Linked DNA regions of Schizosaccharomyces pombe. The gene in region 2 interacts genetically with the main gene of each other region. Each region holds a gene or a part of one and is shown on either strand. Other genes may lie near its edges.

The links. Genes that interact genetically often act in the same process or in processes that back each other up.
Region 1: mutations in pus1 (region 2) and rhp23 are lethal when combined (synthetic lethality), as found in Schizosaccharomyces pombe (one study listed by BioGRID).

What each region holds. Positions count from the first base shown.
Region 1 is NC_003423.3:2,983,172-2,989,161, forward strand, and holds rhp23 (UV excision repair protein rhp23), read left to right. Parts: upstream 1-3,757; 5' UTR 3,758-3,792; coding exon 3,793-3,861; intron 3,862-3,897; exon of another isoform or gene 3,898-3,901; coding exon 3,902-3,974; exon of another isoform or gene 3,975-4,015; coding exon 4,016-4,857; exon of another isoform or gene 4,858-4,904; coding exon 4,905-4,973; exon of another isoform or gene 4,974-5,025; coding exon 5,026-5,079; 3' UTR 5,080-5,318; downstream 5,319-5,990. Other genes in the region: fib1 (fibrillarin, rRNA and histone methyltransferase), read right to left, coding at 1-510; nucleosome assembly protein Nap2, read right to left, coding at 1,538-2,677; telomerase regulator Est1, read left to right, coding at 5,503-5,754, 5,796-5,990. UniProt on the Schizosaccharomyces pombe protein: Involved in postreplication repair of UV-damaged DNA. Postreplication repair functions in gap-filling of a daughter strand on replication of damaged DNA.
Region 2 is NC_003421.2:2,119,092-2,126,454, forward strand, and holds pus1 (tRNA/U2 snRNA pseudouridine synthase Lsp1), read left to right. Parts: upstream 1-1,523; 5' UTR 1,524-1,573; coding exon 1,574-2,650; intron 2,651-2,715; coding exon 2,716-3,071; intron 3,072-3,110; coding exon 3,111-3,282; 3' UTR 3,283-3,539; downstream 3,540-7,363. Other genes in the region: Ku domain protein Pku70 , read right to left, coding at 47-229, 295-327; SAGA complex deubiquitinating submodule subunit Sgf73, read right to left, coding at 3,660-4,111, 4,183-4,765; mrpl17 (mitochondrial 54S ribosomal protein mL46), read right to left, coding at 5,454-5,609, 5,677-5,775, 5,924-6,357, 6,452-6,569; twf1 (twinfilin), read left to right, coding at 6,859-6,883, 6,922-6,999, 7,063-7,363. UniProt on the Schizosaccharomyces pombe protein: Formation of pseudouridine at positions 27 and 28 in the anticodon stem and loop of transfer RNAs; at positions 34 and 36 of intron-containing precursor tRNA(Ile) and at position 35 in the intron-containing tRNA(Tyr).

The DNA of each region.
Region 1 (5,990 bases), on a different chromosome or scaffold from region 2:
ACCAACAACATCAGCAACGTGAGAAACGGATGTACCGTTAGCAGCACCAAGATATAAAACACGTGCACCAGGTTTAATATAGATGTTGTCTAAACCGCCCAAAATACCTGCGGCAAGTTTAGAACGGAAAGGATTCCATACACGGTATTCAACTTTGGTACCATCTGGGGAATCAACGCTAATACGTTTTTCATTGTATACTGATTCACCAGGCACCAGATTGCGGGTGACAAGCAAATCTTCTTTTCCGCGAGCAATGAAGACACCTGCATGACGATGAGGCTCAATAATAACTTTAGCACCTCCTTTGGCTCCACCACGGCCACCGCTAGAACCACCGCGGCCTCCTCTGGCACCTCCACGACCGCCACGACCGCCACGAGCACCACCGCGTCCTCCTCCTCTGGCACCTCCACGGCCACCGCCGAAACCACCACGGCCACCATTGAAACCACCACGGCCTCCTCTAGAGCCACCTCGTCCACCTCTTGAACCTGGTGTATATGCCATTATTTTTTTTTGTGGTAGGTAATGGGTCTGTAAAATTTTTAGGATAGCAGAGAGGATTACAGTTGGTGTGACTACGAACACAATTCTGCAACGCTAAAAATTTTTACGAGTTCGAAACAATCTGTAAAACCTCTAGTTAACGAAGGTAAACAACGCTAAAGCTAACTTAATGACATTAGTAGCATCGCAGTGTTATTATTTGCAGCTCATAACTTCTCATTAGTAAGGTAAACATATGTAGCAAAAGATGGGTTCCTGCTGTTTGAAAAGCAATTGTTTTAGGTCTCAGCAACAAATTAGAGGTATTCAATATAATTCTTTTGAAAGATTGGTGAAGAGAATGAATAGACATCTCTACTTGTGTTCATATAATAATTACGTTTTGACAATCGAAGTAACTAAACTTAGAGTTACAAGAGGTAGTGATTTATTGTCAGAACCGTTATTAGTTGTAGTTCTTCCAACCTAGTACTAGTTCTTATACCTTATCATATAAACTCGGTGTGAGCTAACAATGCACTTAAAGATTGTTAATTAATGTACGAACAGATCTAGCTTTGACGTATAAAATAAATAGAAAAAGCTATTGCAGATAGTTATAGTAATAGCCGCTTACTTTTTGCTGGCTGTCCGCATTATCATTTTAGAAAAGCAAATGCTAATAAATAACACCACAGCTTCAAATAATGCGCGTACTAACCTAATACTAGCTATTAAAAAAGGAACCATGTAAGTAGAATATACTCACAGAATGATAAAAAATTACTTAGTATATTTTTTATACCTGCATTGGAAAAAAAAATTCAAAATTTAAAAAGACAAGAAAACAAATTGAAATTTTAAAGACAAATCCTAACTTAGATCCGCTTATTAAATATTTTATAGGATACTACGACGTAAATCAACATTTTAATTTTTTAAGCCACAATAAACTTACCAAACTATAAGCGAAATTATCATTCAGCGTCAATTTCTCATTTTTGCTCACATTGAACTTACTCATAATCTAACGAACACAATATAAATATCAATCACTAATTTCGCTACTCAAAATTTCTTCGTCATCTGAAGACAGATCCTCCTCATCAGTATATGCGTCTTCAGAGTCTTCTTCATCCATTTGGTTAAAATCGCTCAAGTCACCTTCTTCTAAGAAACAGTCAATTGCCAAGGGTATGATTTGATCTTTAAAGACTTCTCCCAATTGATAGTCGAGTTCTAAAAGCTCTGTTTTGTCATCCAAACCATCATCAGATTCATCATCGTCCAACTGAGGAGGTGAGAAAAAGTTGAAAAAACTGTCATTAGGGACCGTAGTACGGACCAATCTAGTTTGATTTGTTTTACGGTTACGTTGTTTTTTTGTCTCCACTCTAACCGTTAAATTTTTTTCAGGCTTGATCCAATTAATCTTATCACCCTCAGCATGATCATACAAAAACTCACCCGAAGGACTTAAATCATCTTTATAGTAATAAGTTTTCGTTAAAATCTTGTTTGTAAAGTAATCATTTGAGTCAAATTCGAATTCTAGTTTGTAACCATGAACATCTCCCGAAAGGTTGGTAAAACGAATGTCGCTGAGTGATCGCAAGACATTTTCATCTTCTGGTGTTATCATTTCGCCAACCAAGAAAACATTATGAAGACAAGTCAGCCAAAATTCGGGAATTCCCTTAGGATCTGGAAGATTATTTTGAAATATTTCTTCCTCGTGATCTAATTCGTCGTCCACTGGTTCAGAAACACCCTTGATAATTTCGGCTCTTCTAGAGAAAATAGGTTGATATTTTTTCTCGTATTTTGTTTCCAGATCTAACATTTTTTGACGAAATTCATATTGAATTGCATCACAATCTTTTTGAAGGCCTTTCAATGCTGTAATACGATTTTGGACTGCTGGCGCAAGGCTCTCTATATATCCCGACGACTTTCCAACCAACGAGCTAAGGCGTCCCTCAATCATTGATAACATGGCCGGATTGTTGCGCAATAACCCGCTAACTTCATCATGTGCTGATTTGTCCTCCAGTTGTGATTGCAAGGTTTGTCTAGCTTTTTCTAATGCGGCCTTACTAAGATGTACATCTGAAGATGGAGTATTTTGTGGCGTTTGAGCAGCAAACCCATTCCAAGACTTCTTAAAATCTCCTGGACCTTTAGACATATTTTAATAATGCAAACGGAGATTAAATTAAATTGGTAAAGCTTCGTTGTTGGACTGTGGATCTTCGTGAAGTCTACCAAAGAGATGTTGGGCCTGACTCGTTATTGCAGCTTAGCATATTTTAATGATATGTTTACAGCATTTTTCGTATGAGAGTCTTTAATGAAATATATTTATGTGTTTAGCGGCTATCATAGTTTGGGATAGTATTTGGGGTTTTATTTGGAAGAATATGTAAAATTAGAAAGCATCCGGAAGTTTACATATACGTTGACTTTTTTCTCTCCGCTTTCCTTATACTTTCTCTGACAAAGGTAATGGATTGTATAAACCAAAGGCGCTGCTTTCAAATTCTGATGTAGCTGTCCAAATAGCTAAAAAAAAAATCAATGAAATAAACAAATGTATATATCTCGTTTAAGCAAAGTGTCTACGCTATTCATATTAGTTTAACATATGTATCGTATCCCAATTATTAGTTGAAAATTCTATAAAAAATATATATATATGGATACTGATTAATAAACAACTCTACGTATCATATACTTCTATATTCATGAGTTAAACAACCTTATTGTAGCATTTGTTTACTAGTTAGTTGCCCACGGAGGAGCGAAAAACTATCGGAACATAATTCAAAAGTCAAACTTGTAAATAAAAATCTGCTATTGTAACGGTCATTGCTAACTTAAATAAACAAATCATAATTAATATATATAAATTTATTAGCGATCGTTCTGTAAATAAATAGAAAATGAGAATGAATAATCCAACAGAAAAATATATATATATATAGTAAATTAAAGAATAAAGAATAAACTAATACACTGTATTGAGTACTAATGGACTTGGAAACGAGGTAAATGTTTCACTCACAACACTTTCAAACAAATGAAATATTTTCTTACATTAAATTTTAGGTTCAAATAAACCAAACTGTTTTGCTTTTTAGATTTTTCATTCACATTTTATGATAAACAATGCGATGATACCAAATAATGTTACTTGTGTATGGTGTTTGTTTGCTACCTTGACAATTATTCTCTGATGCAACGTTTTTTCAAAGAGGTTTTCATTACTATACATTTACCCACTACGCCAAATTTGCTTTGAAAATGAATTTGACATTCAAAAATCTACAGCAGCAGAAATTTGTTATTTCTGATGTTTCTGCAGATACCAAAGTATGATAATTGTGGCATATTATTTTTCTAACGTAAACAGATTTCAGAATTAAAAGAAAAAATTCAAACGCAACAGAATTATGAAGTCGAACGTCAAAAGTTAATTTACTCAGGTATATAACATAATTTTAATATGTAAAATACTAATTTATAGGTCGAATCCTTGCTGATGACAAAACTGTTGGCGAATACAATATAAAAGAACAGGATTTCATTGTATGCATGGTTTCACGACCCAAAACTTCCACCTCTACTCCGAAATCAGCTGCCAGTCCTGCCCCCAATCCTCCGGCTTCCGTACCTGAAAAGAAAGTTGAAGCTCCTTCTTCTACCGTGGCGGAATCTACCTCTACTACACAAACTGTTGCTGCTGCTGCCCCTTCAAACCCAGATACTACTGCCACTAGTGAAGCACCAATAGACGCCAACACATTGGCAGTTGGTGCTCAACGAAATGTTGCTGTCGAAAATATGGTAGAAATGGGATACGAACGCAGCGAAGTTGAAAGAGCCATGCGTGCCGCTTTTAACAACCCTGATCGGGCAGTGGAATACTTATTAACTGGTATTCCCGAAGACATTCTCAATCGACAGAGAGAAGAGAGTGCTGCAGCCCTTGCTGCTCAGCAACAGCAAAGCGAAGCCCTTGCTCCTACTTCCACTGGCCAGCCAGCGAATCTTTTTGAACAAGCTGCTTTATCAGAAAATGAAAATCAAGAACAACCTTCTAATACCGTTGGTGATGACCCTCTAGGCTTCCTTCGTAGCATTCCTCAATTTCAACAGCTAAGACAAATTGTTCAACAAAATCCACAGATGTTGGAAACTATATTGCAACAAATTGGGCAGGGAGATCCTGCATTGGCTCAAGCTATTACGCAAAATCCTGAAGCATTTTTGCAATTATTGGCGGAGGGTGCCGAAGGCGAGTCTGCCTTACCTTCTGGTGGAATTCAGATTCAAATTACTCAAGAAGAATCTGAGAGTATTGATAGAGTATGTTATTTCTATTTTTTTGTTTTAACTATCTAACAAGCTTTTAGTTATGTCAACTTGGCTTCGACAGAAACATTGTAATTCAGGCTTATTTAGCTTGTGATAAAAATGAAGAGGTGTGTTTTTTTTTTTTTTTTGATTTATTGAATTATCAACTAACAATTGTAGCTTGCTGCTAATTACCTTTTCGAGCATGGACATGAATCTGAGGATGAACCTTAAAGCGCGCACCTTATAAATTATTGCTTTTCGCTTGAAAAACGCCTAAATGGCAACTAATTCAGCTCTTTATTGCTAGCATTTAGTTAAGGATACGGAATATTAAACAAAACAATGATATTTTTGTAATTGTTGAGTACAGGGTTGCTCCGAGCACAGCACATAAGTTGTTTTCAATCATTTGTCGTACATGTAAATATTATATATATACATATATATATTTTTTTTCCCTACTATTTTATTTGATAGAACCATATTTTTCTTTCTCTAATACTGAATTGTCATTACGCTTAGGGTTTTTGCATAAGATATCAAGTAGGAAGAAGTCAAGTGACTTAAGTGGTCTAATTTCCACGCTCAACGCTGCAGAAATACGTTTTTGATAATTTTTTATATTTTTCTTAAAATGTGACGATATTATAATTAATGTCGCAACAACTTTCAAGTAATGAAATTTGTGAAGAGCAGGGAAAGCTCGTCAAAGCGCTGTGTGAAGCAGCTCAAGGAGGTTTTAAGCATGATTTATATGAGAAAATTATAGCAATTGAAATTGAAGTTGAGAAGAAACTGTTAAATCGTCTAAAAAGTATTCAAACAAATACTTTTGAACGTCCAGATATTATATGGTCATGTTGCCATTATAAAATTATTCAACATTTTAGAAGTAGGTTTAGAGAGGTGAGTAAAAACTAAAGTATGGGACAATTATTAATTTTAAGATACATCCTCGACACGTTGTTGAAAAAAAAAAGACAAAAAAGGTTTTCTTTAAATTCTTGAAAACGTGTGCAATCTTTTACCAGACTTGCATAAGTGAACTAATATCTAAGTTCCAATTGGATTCATACAGACCGTTTTTTTGTAAATGGACATCATCAGCTACTGTTTCTTCGACTATTTCAAACGATGAAATG
Region 2 (7,363 bases):
TGGCAGAAGTAAACGTCGGTGAATTTAAATGCAGCATTAAACTTACAGTACCATAGAGCAATACACCCATTATGTCGCTGGGATTTGTGATTACTCTTTGAGCCGCCAGCTGGTACGCACAAATAAGTGCCATCTGCAAAGAGCTGGGAGTAAATTCATCGACAGGATCAAGCATACTGGGAGAAACTTCAATCACAAATAAAATGGCATATTTTCCAATTGCAAAATTCTTTAAACAATCGTCAGCATAATAATTTCAAAACACCTGCGTCTACCAGTCCATATTGGTCATACTTCTGTCTCATCTATTTGTTCATCGTTTTCCATGTAAAAAACAGATTATCAAAAACAATTTCCTTGGCTTTTTAAATACGACAAAAAGAAAAAAGAAGCACGCGTAATTATAAAAACGCTGATATTTTATGTAAACCGTCCGATGATAACGGCTAAAGCACACGAATGAAATAACTATTTCATTAGTATCTTAAATGTCAAATAATTTAATATATTGATATACCAATATGAGTTATTAAGCACCAATTCCAATATTTGAGAAAAATAATAAAATGCACAATGGTGTCAACATTCTAGTGGGTGTTTTACACGCACTGTGATTGTTGCGAATACGTTAAATTTAAAGAGCTCAAGTAAAGCCGTCGTAAGTTGCAACTAATATTAGTTCGTTATAGTTCATTTGTGTCGGCTACGCAGTTTGGTATCTGATTTAAAGATACGTAGAACTGCGGTGAGTTTTCCTTGTGATCTATTATATTACAATACACAGGTTGTATAAGTAGCAACTGAGTATAGGTATTGTATTAACTGGGTTATAATGTTACCTATCACTAATATAGCTCATAACTGAACTGAGGAACGAGGTTCAGCAGTAGCTCTATTTATAGTATTCAGATAATATACATATTAATAGATTTTAATTAAGATCAATATCAATATCGTATCATACATGGTACGATATATAATTAGAACATGTGACATATAGTGAAACGCAACGTAATATATCATAGCTTAGTGTAGTATTGCTGACAATTTGCGGTTTTGTTCGTAACGTGTGGAAGAAAAAAATAAAAAATGAGGTTTATGAACGATGAAAAGGACTAGATTTTTGATATAAAATTGATAATAGGTATACTTTTCTTAGTTATTGGAAGGATTAGTCACGGGTTTCAATTTGGCCTTTACTTCGACAACTGGTAACAAAAGATAAAACACAGAGACAGAGAATAAGCAACAATTAATAGTCAGTCTTAAGTCATTCCTTTTTCAGGCTGATTATTTTTTTTTGGTTTGAATGCTTCATCAATCTGTTTTTGCTCGAAATGCGATACAATATTTAGCTTTTTAATTCTTAAAACTTTTAACTTAAGGTAAGCGAAGTATATTGTTTTATAATTGTTTAGTGAACCATCGTGTAATTATACTCTTATCTTATTGAATGAATAACGATTCCTTGCATTTCATTATTAAGAAAATATACTCTACTATGTTTAAATGAATTTTTACCTGTGCAGCGTAAATTGCGTTTTCATCAAAAACAAATAATATTAACTACAGCATGGGACGTGGTGGTAAACGCACTTGGTACAATGGTGATCGTCGAGAAGCGAAAAGGAACCGACCTAATTCTATATACAATGGAGAAGGTCGGCCAGAGAATTTGGTAGTTGGAGAAAAAAAGCCGAAAAGAAAGGTCGCCTGTCTTGTAGGTTATTGTGGTAGCGGATATCATGGTATGCAATTGAATCCTCCTAGTAAAACAATCGAAGGAGATCTTTTTGATGCTTTTGTGAAGGCTGGTGCCGTTTCTTCTTATAACGCTGATGACCCAAAGAAAGTTGCTTTAGCAAGAGCCGCAAGAACTGATAAAGGAGTTCATGCCGCTGGAAATGTTATCAGTCTCAAACTTATAATGGAAGATGAGAAGTTAATTGAAAAAGTGAACGAACACCTCCCTCCTTCCATTCGCTTATGGGATGTGATCCGTACTATTAATTCTTTTAACCCAAGGACTTATTGCGAATCTCGTATATATGAATATATGGTTCCAACGTATGCTTTTGTTCCACCGAAACCTTCGTCCATACTTGGAAATTGCATTATGAAGAATTCTCCCATGCCTGCTGAGCCAATTAACAAGGAAAATATAAATCAACTCAGTCGTTCATTATTTTATGAAGAAGGAAAGGAATTTTGGGATGATTATGATATTGCAGCCAAAGAGATTTTGAGCCTTTATGAACAGGATCCTGAAGGCTTCGTAAATCCATATTCTAAAAGGGGAGCTGCTGCTCTTGCTAATTCGGAAAATAATAAGGGCTCTGAAGCAGGAGTTTCCGCTAAAACTAATCCAGATATGGATTCCGATTCCTCTGCTATTGTAAACGAGTTTTTAAAGCCTGACTCTGTTGAAGACGAATCTGCTGGTTCCAAGATTGATCCCAGTTATCGTCTCGAACGTGCACTTAAGCACATTGAAGTACTTAAATTAAAAAATTACCGTATTTCCGCAGATAGGCTGTCCGTTATTCGAGAAACTTTAAACCAATATGTTGGAGTTCATAACTTTCACAATTTTACTGTGGGGCAAGCATTTCATCAGAAGAATAGTAATCGCGTGATCCGTTCTTTTACTGTAAGTAAGAATTATCTTCTTTGTATTTATAGTATTCTTGACAAGTCTTGTTTCTAACATTCTAGGCATCTGATCCATTCATGATTGGCGATACAGAATGGATTTCATGTAAAGTTCATGGTCAATCTTTTATGTTGCACCAAATTAGAAAGATGATTGCGCTTGCTATTTTAGTTGTACGAACGGGTTGTCCTGTTGAGCGCATACAAGATGCCTTTAAAAAAACAAAAATTAACATACCCAAGGGACCTGGTTTTGGACTTTTATTAGAGTCACCGTTTTTTAAAGGTTATAATGAACATAAAGCTCCAGAGAATAATCGTGATCCTATCGACTTTACAAAGTACGAGCAAAAAATTACTGCTTTTAAGCATGCTCATATTTATGATAAAATTTTTCTCGAAGAAGCTCGTAAACAAGTGTAAGTATATTTTTTTCTTAAATTAACTAACCGGTTTAGATTTCATTGTTTTTTGTCTTTTATTGACAGTTATAATGAAGAAGATTTCAGTTATTTATCAGATATAGGCATTACTGAAAAGACGCAAGAGGTTTCCTCAAAATTGCCTGATGTTCTTTCTAGCGATGAAGAAGAAGATTCGGCTGAAAACAAGGATGATTTAGAGGGCTAAAGGATTGATTGTGAGACTGAGGATTTGCAACAAACTGATACCATAAACTTTGCTGTTTCTTTTAAAAAATTAGACTACAAACGTGTACATATATTTTTGGAGAATACTTGTTTCTTTCTTTTTTTTAGAATTGATTATTGGTTTTGGGTTCTATTGGTATTTTTATAGTTTATTAACTTCTACTTGATTATTCCAAATGTTAAGACCGTATGGTGCAATATACAAAATAAAAAATGAAAAAATTAATGAAATAGAAACTAGATGAACGGAGGAGAAAATTAAAAAGTCGAAAATGCGTGGTCAAGTAGACCAAAATGTAAACTATAATCTCATAAAGAATTTAAATCATCAACCGAAGCAAAATCAAAAGAATTTCTTTATAGTGGTTGGCGGGCACTAAAAGGAATCACTCGTCCCAATATAGTACCAGTAACTTGCATACCCTGCTCACCATGTCGAAATGCAGCAGCTATTAACTCTCTAGTACGAAAATACGAATGGCGACGTTTTACGGGTAAAAAAACTTTTTGCTCCAAAGGCTGATTGCCAGATTTCTGGAGAACATTCATAATGAAACTGACTTCTTCATCAGAATCAACAGGCGCTTGATGCTGATTATCTTCGGATTCTTTTGCAGTTTCGAGGATTTGTCGTTGTATTTTTACTTGGTTTTTCTTTTGACAAGCTGCAAGCAAAACATCGTATGGCTGAGATCTTCCCGGAACGGCTCGTTTGCTTGACATTGAATGCGTTTTACATGTGAGAGATCTGGCGCACATTTGCCCATTAGGAAGCAAAACACCGCATTGCTTTTCAACATCCACAGGACCTTAATTGAATGTTAGTATTAAAGTAAACAGGTACTCCATTCTCCATATTGAACAGCATAAACCAACATACCTTTGACCTTTGGATTCTTCTTCTTGCTAGCCTCTTTCTTGGGAAGGGCGGATTTTGTAGGCTTTTTGTTTTCTTCTGTCTTCCGACGTTTTGGAGGCATTTCAGGATTCTTTTGACCATTAACTGAATTCTTTTCATGATTCCCAGCTGAGCCCTTAGCTGTCGATTTAACACCATTTTTGATGGGTGCATTATTGCCATTGTTGACATCTTTGTTTAAAACCTGAGAATTCGCAACAGGCTCAAATTGAGGCTTAGGAGGTTTAATTCCATTGCATGAGCTATGATGGTCCTCAATATACTCTGATAGGAAGGGTCGGTCGCATTTTGTGCATACAACATAATCGAGTTCTGAATTGTTAGGATATGACCCATACTGAGGAAAGGAATCAGCAGGTAGTAAAATTTGAGTTTGATTCGTAATGTTAGAAGTTATTTCATCCTTTACCTGTGATTCTGTATTATCAACTCTTTGATCAGCGAGTACATCTTTGGGTAACCCATCCGGGTATTTCAACAAAACTTGCTCATTTCTTTCCCAATTTTCTGGAAATAACTCCAAAGTCTGTTGTTCTGTTAACATTTTATTGATAAGAACCGAGTTTATAAACAGAATTCTACAAAGTTGCCCTTTGTCAATTCCTTTGTAGTGGGACTAAATCTGTAAGTCAAGTGTATGTACGGTTTAATGCTTCCAGAAAGCAAAGTCTATAATTGCATTCTAATGAACTTTCAAAGGATTATGCTGACACATATCATTTCTGATAATTACTAAATTATACAGACATTGTCTTTAAGGGCTAGACTATGACTGACAAAAGAATTTTTGATCTTGGAATTGAGGACAAACTACGGATATCAATTTTGATTAACAATTCTATTTTTTTAGGTCCCTTGAGCTAAACATAGTTTATTATTAAGGTGCGCGCTTTTCCCGTTTTCTCGTACACTGCCAAGAATCCACAGATCATGAGGGTGAGTAATCATGAAATCCGGACTCCAAAAGTAGGCGGCTGAAAATAAAATACTGGCAGAATCATTTGCAAATAAAAAGATAGAATAAATAAGGAGAAATACTTAGTGAAATTCCAAAATTATTTGTTTTTTTTTACATCGTACCAAAACATCAAAAATTAAGGAGAGAAAAAAATAGAAAACGTGAAAATTAAGCTGAAAAATGCAGTAAGATTGTAGAAAGATTGAATTTCCAAGATGAAATGTTCCGCTGTTTATTTTCCGTAGATTTTACATATTGTTTGCTCAATTGAAGATTACAAACGATCGGAAAGTATGTTTTTTACAGAATCCCATGAAGAAGGAGAAAGTTTGTTTTTCAGTTCATCGTACGTACACCAAACCCAGTCATAAACGTTTTGCAGGTTAGGTACATCTAATCCATTTAATAAACGAGCACGTAACAAGAAGGTCTAGAAATAACTGGTTAAACAAAAAATCAACCCAGATAAAATGAGAACAAAAAATCCGTAGTCTTACCTTTTCTTGTTCCGTTTTTAGTAATGCTAATGGATGACGTGCAACTAGCCAAGTCAACGAATTTTCGTCTAATATATTTTTTAAAAGATCTTGACATAACTACAGTTTGTTAGAAAGGCCAATCTGCAGACTATGTAAACAAAAATTGCAAGAGTATTTGATAAATTATTTAGCATCAAATCAATAGTAAGTAGTCTCTTGCACTATATTGTGTATCTTGGAATCGAATTTTAAAAAATGTACTTACCAGATGCAGCGCCTTCTCGGAGCTTGTAACAGGAGTGTTAGGAAATTGCCAACCCGAGCTTTTAGATTTTTTTACCAACAAGTAAAGGGACTTGTCAAGCGAGCGAAGAGTGCTTCGCTCATCGTTTTTCGTATCAGCTTCTGTGACTCTGGATTGCAAGTGAGTTGCAGAATCCAATAATTTGTTAGACTCCATCTCTTTCCTTTCCTTTCCAAATATCGTCTCAAAGGGTGATTCTTTACCTTTTAGTGTTTTTTGTCGTTCTTGCCAATCTTTTTCACCCACCGATCCCTTCTTGAAATAAAATTCTGCAGGTAAAGGATCACTCAGCTCATTCCAAAGTTCCGCATTATATTTATATATAGATTTTTCGAATTCGGATGGTTGGCGAGTAAGAATTGGCGATCTAATTAAAATTGTACCCACTGAACAACCTAAGATATGTTAGCAATCATGTACATCAAAGGTAATTTTTTTATTTATATTTAATATCCCTAGATAATTCATTTTCATTTTTTAATTCTGTACCTTTTAGAGGAGTCGAGTTAGACAAGGGTTTAGAGGATTGAATGGAATTTCGTACAGAAATGTGAAATTGACGCGAAAAAGACCTCTGCATATTTATAATATTTCTCTTCAAGTACATTGTTTAAACTTAGTCAATTTACGCCAAGTAAATCTCCAAATTTCGGCTTTGTTTACTAATCCGGTAAAGACCACTTGGTAAAGGCAATCGACGTTTCGCTATGGCTAGCACTACCACCTGTTTTACCAGCGTACATTACACGCTTCGTTAAGTACTGTAATATTTCTTAGAGACTCTGTTGCTATCGTTAATATGTTTTAATAGATTTCTTTGGATTTCGTTATAATTCAATTTAACTCACTTAGAATGGGGAATTGCTGACGCAGTAAACCTTTCAATCCCCATAACAATGTCTGCTTCCGTCGAATTAAAACGTAAGAAATTTGGCTAAATTCTTCTAACGTGTGGATAGCTACAGAGAAGTTCAGTAAATTTCTCGAGGAGTACTCTTCGGTACCGGTTCGCGCCGCCATTATTAGCATTTCTAATGGTAAGTTTCCATTCGGGCTAGAAGAGTAAATTTTAAGTTAGTTGAAGTTACTAAATGATTTAGAGAATTCATTTGACGTGAAAACAATGGTTGAAAAATCAGAATCGATAGAATCTGATTTTAAGAAAGTCCGTGAATGTTTGCTCGGATCTGAAGAACCTGCATTTGTCCTCGTTTATGATGATAGCAAGAAAAATCTATTACAATTAATTTCCTATGTCCCTGAAAATGCGAATGTTCGCAGGAAGATGTTATATGCCTCTAGTCGTGCTGCATTTGTAAGATGCGTAACTCTTGCTAAACTCGACGAGTCTTATTTCGCAAGTACTCCGGAAGAGTTAGATTATCAGCAAATTATGAAGAG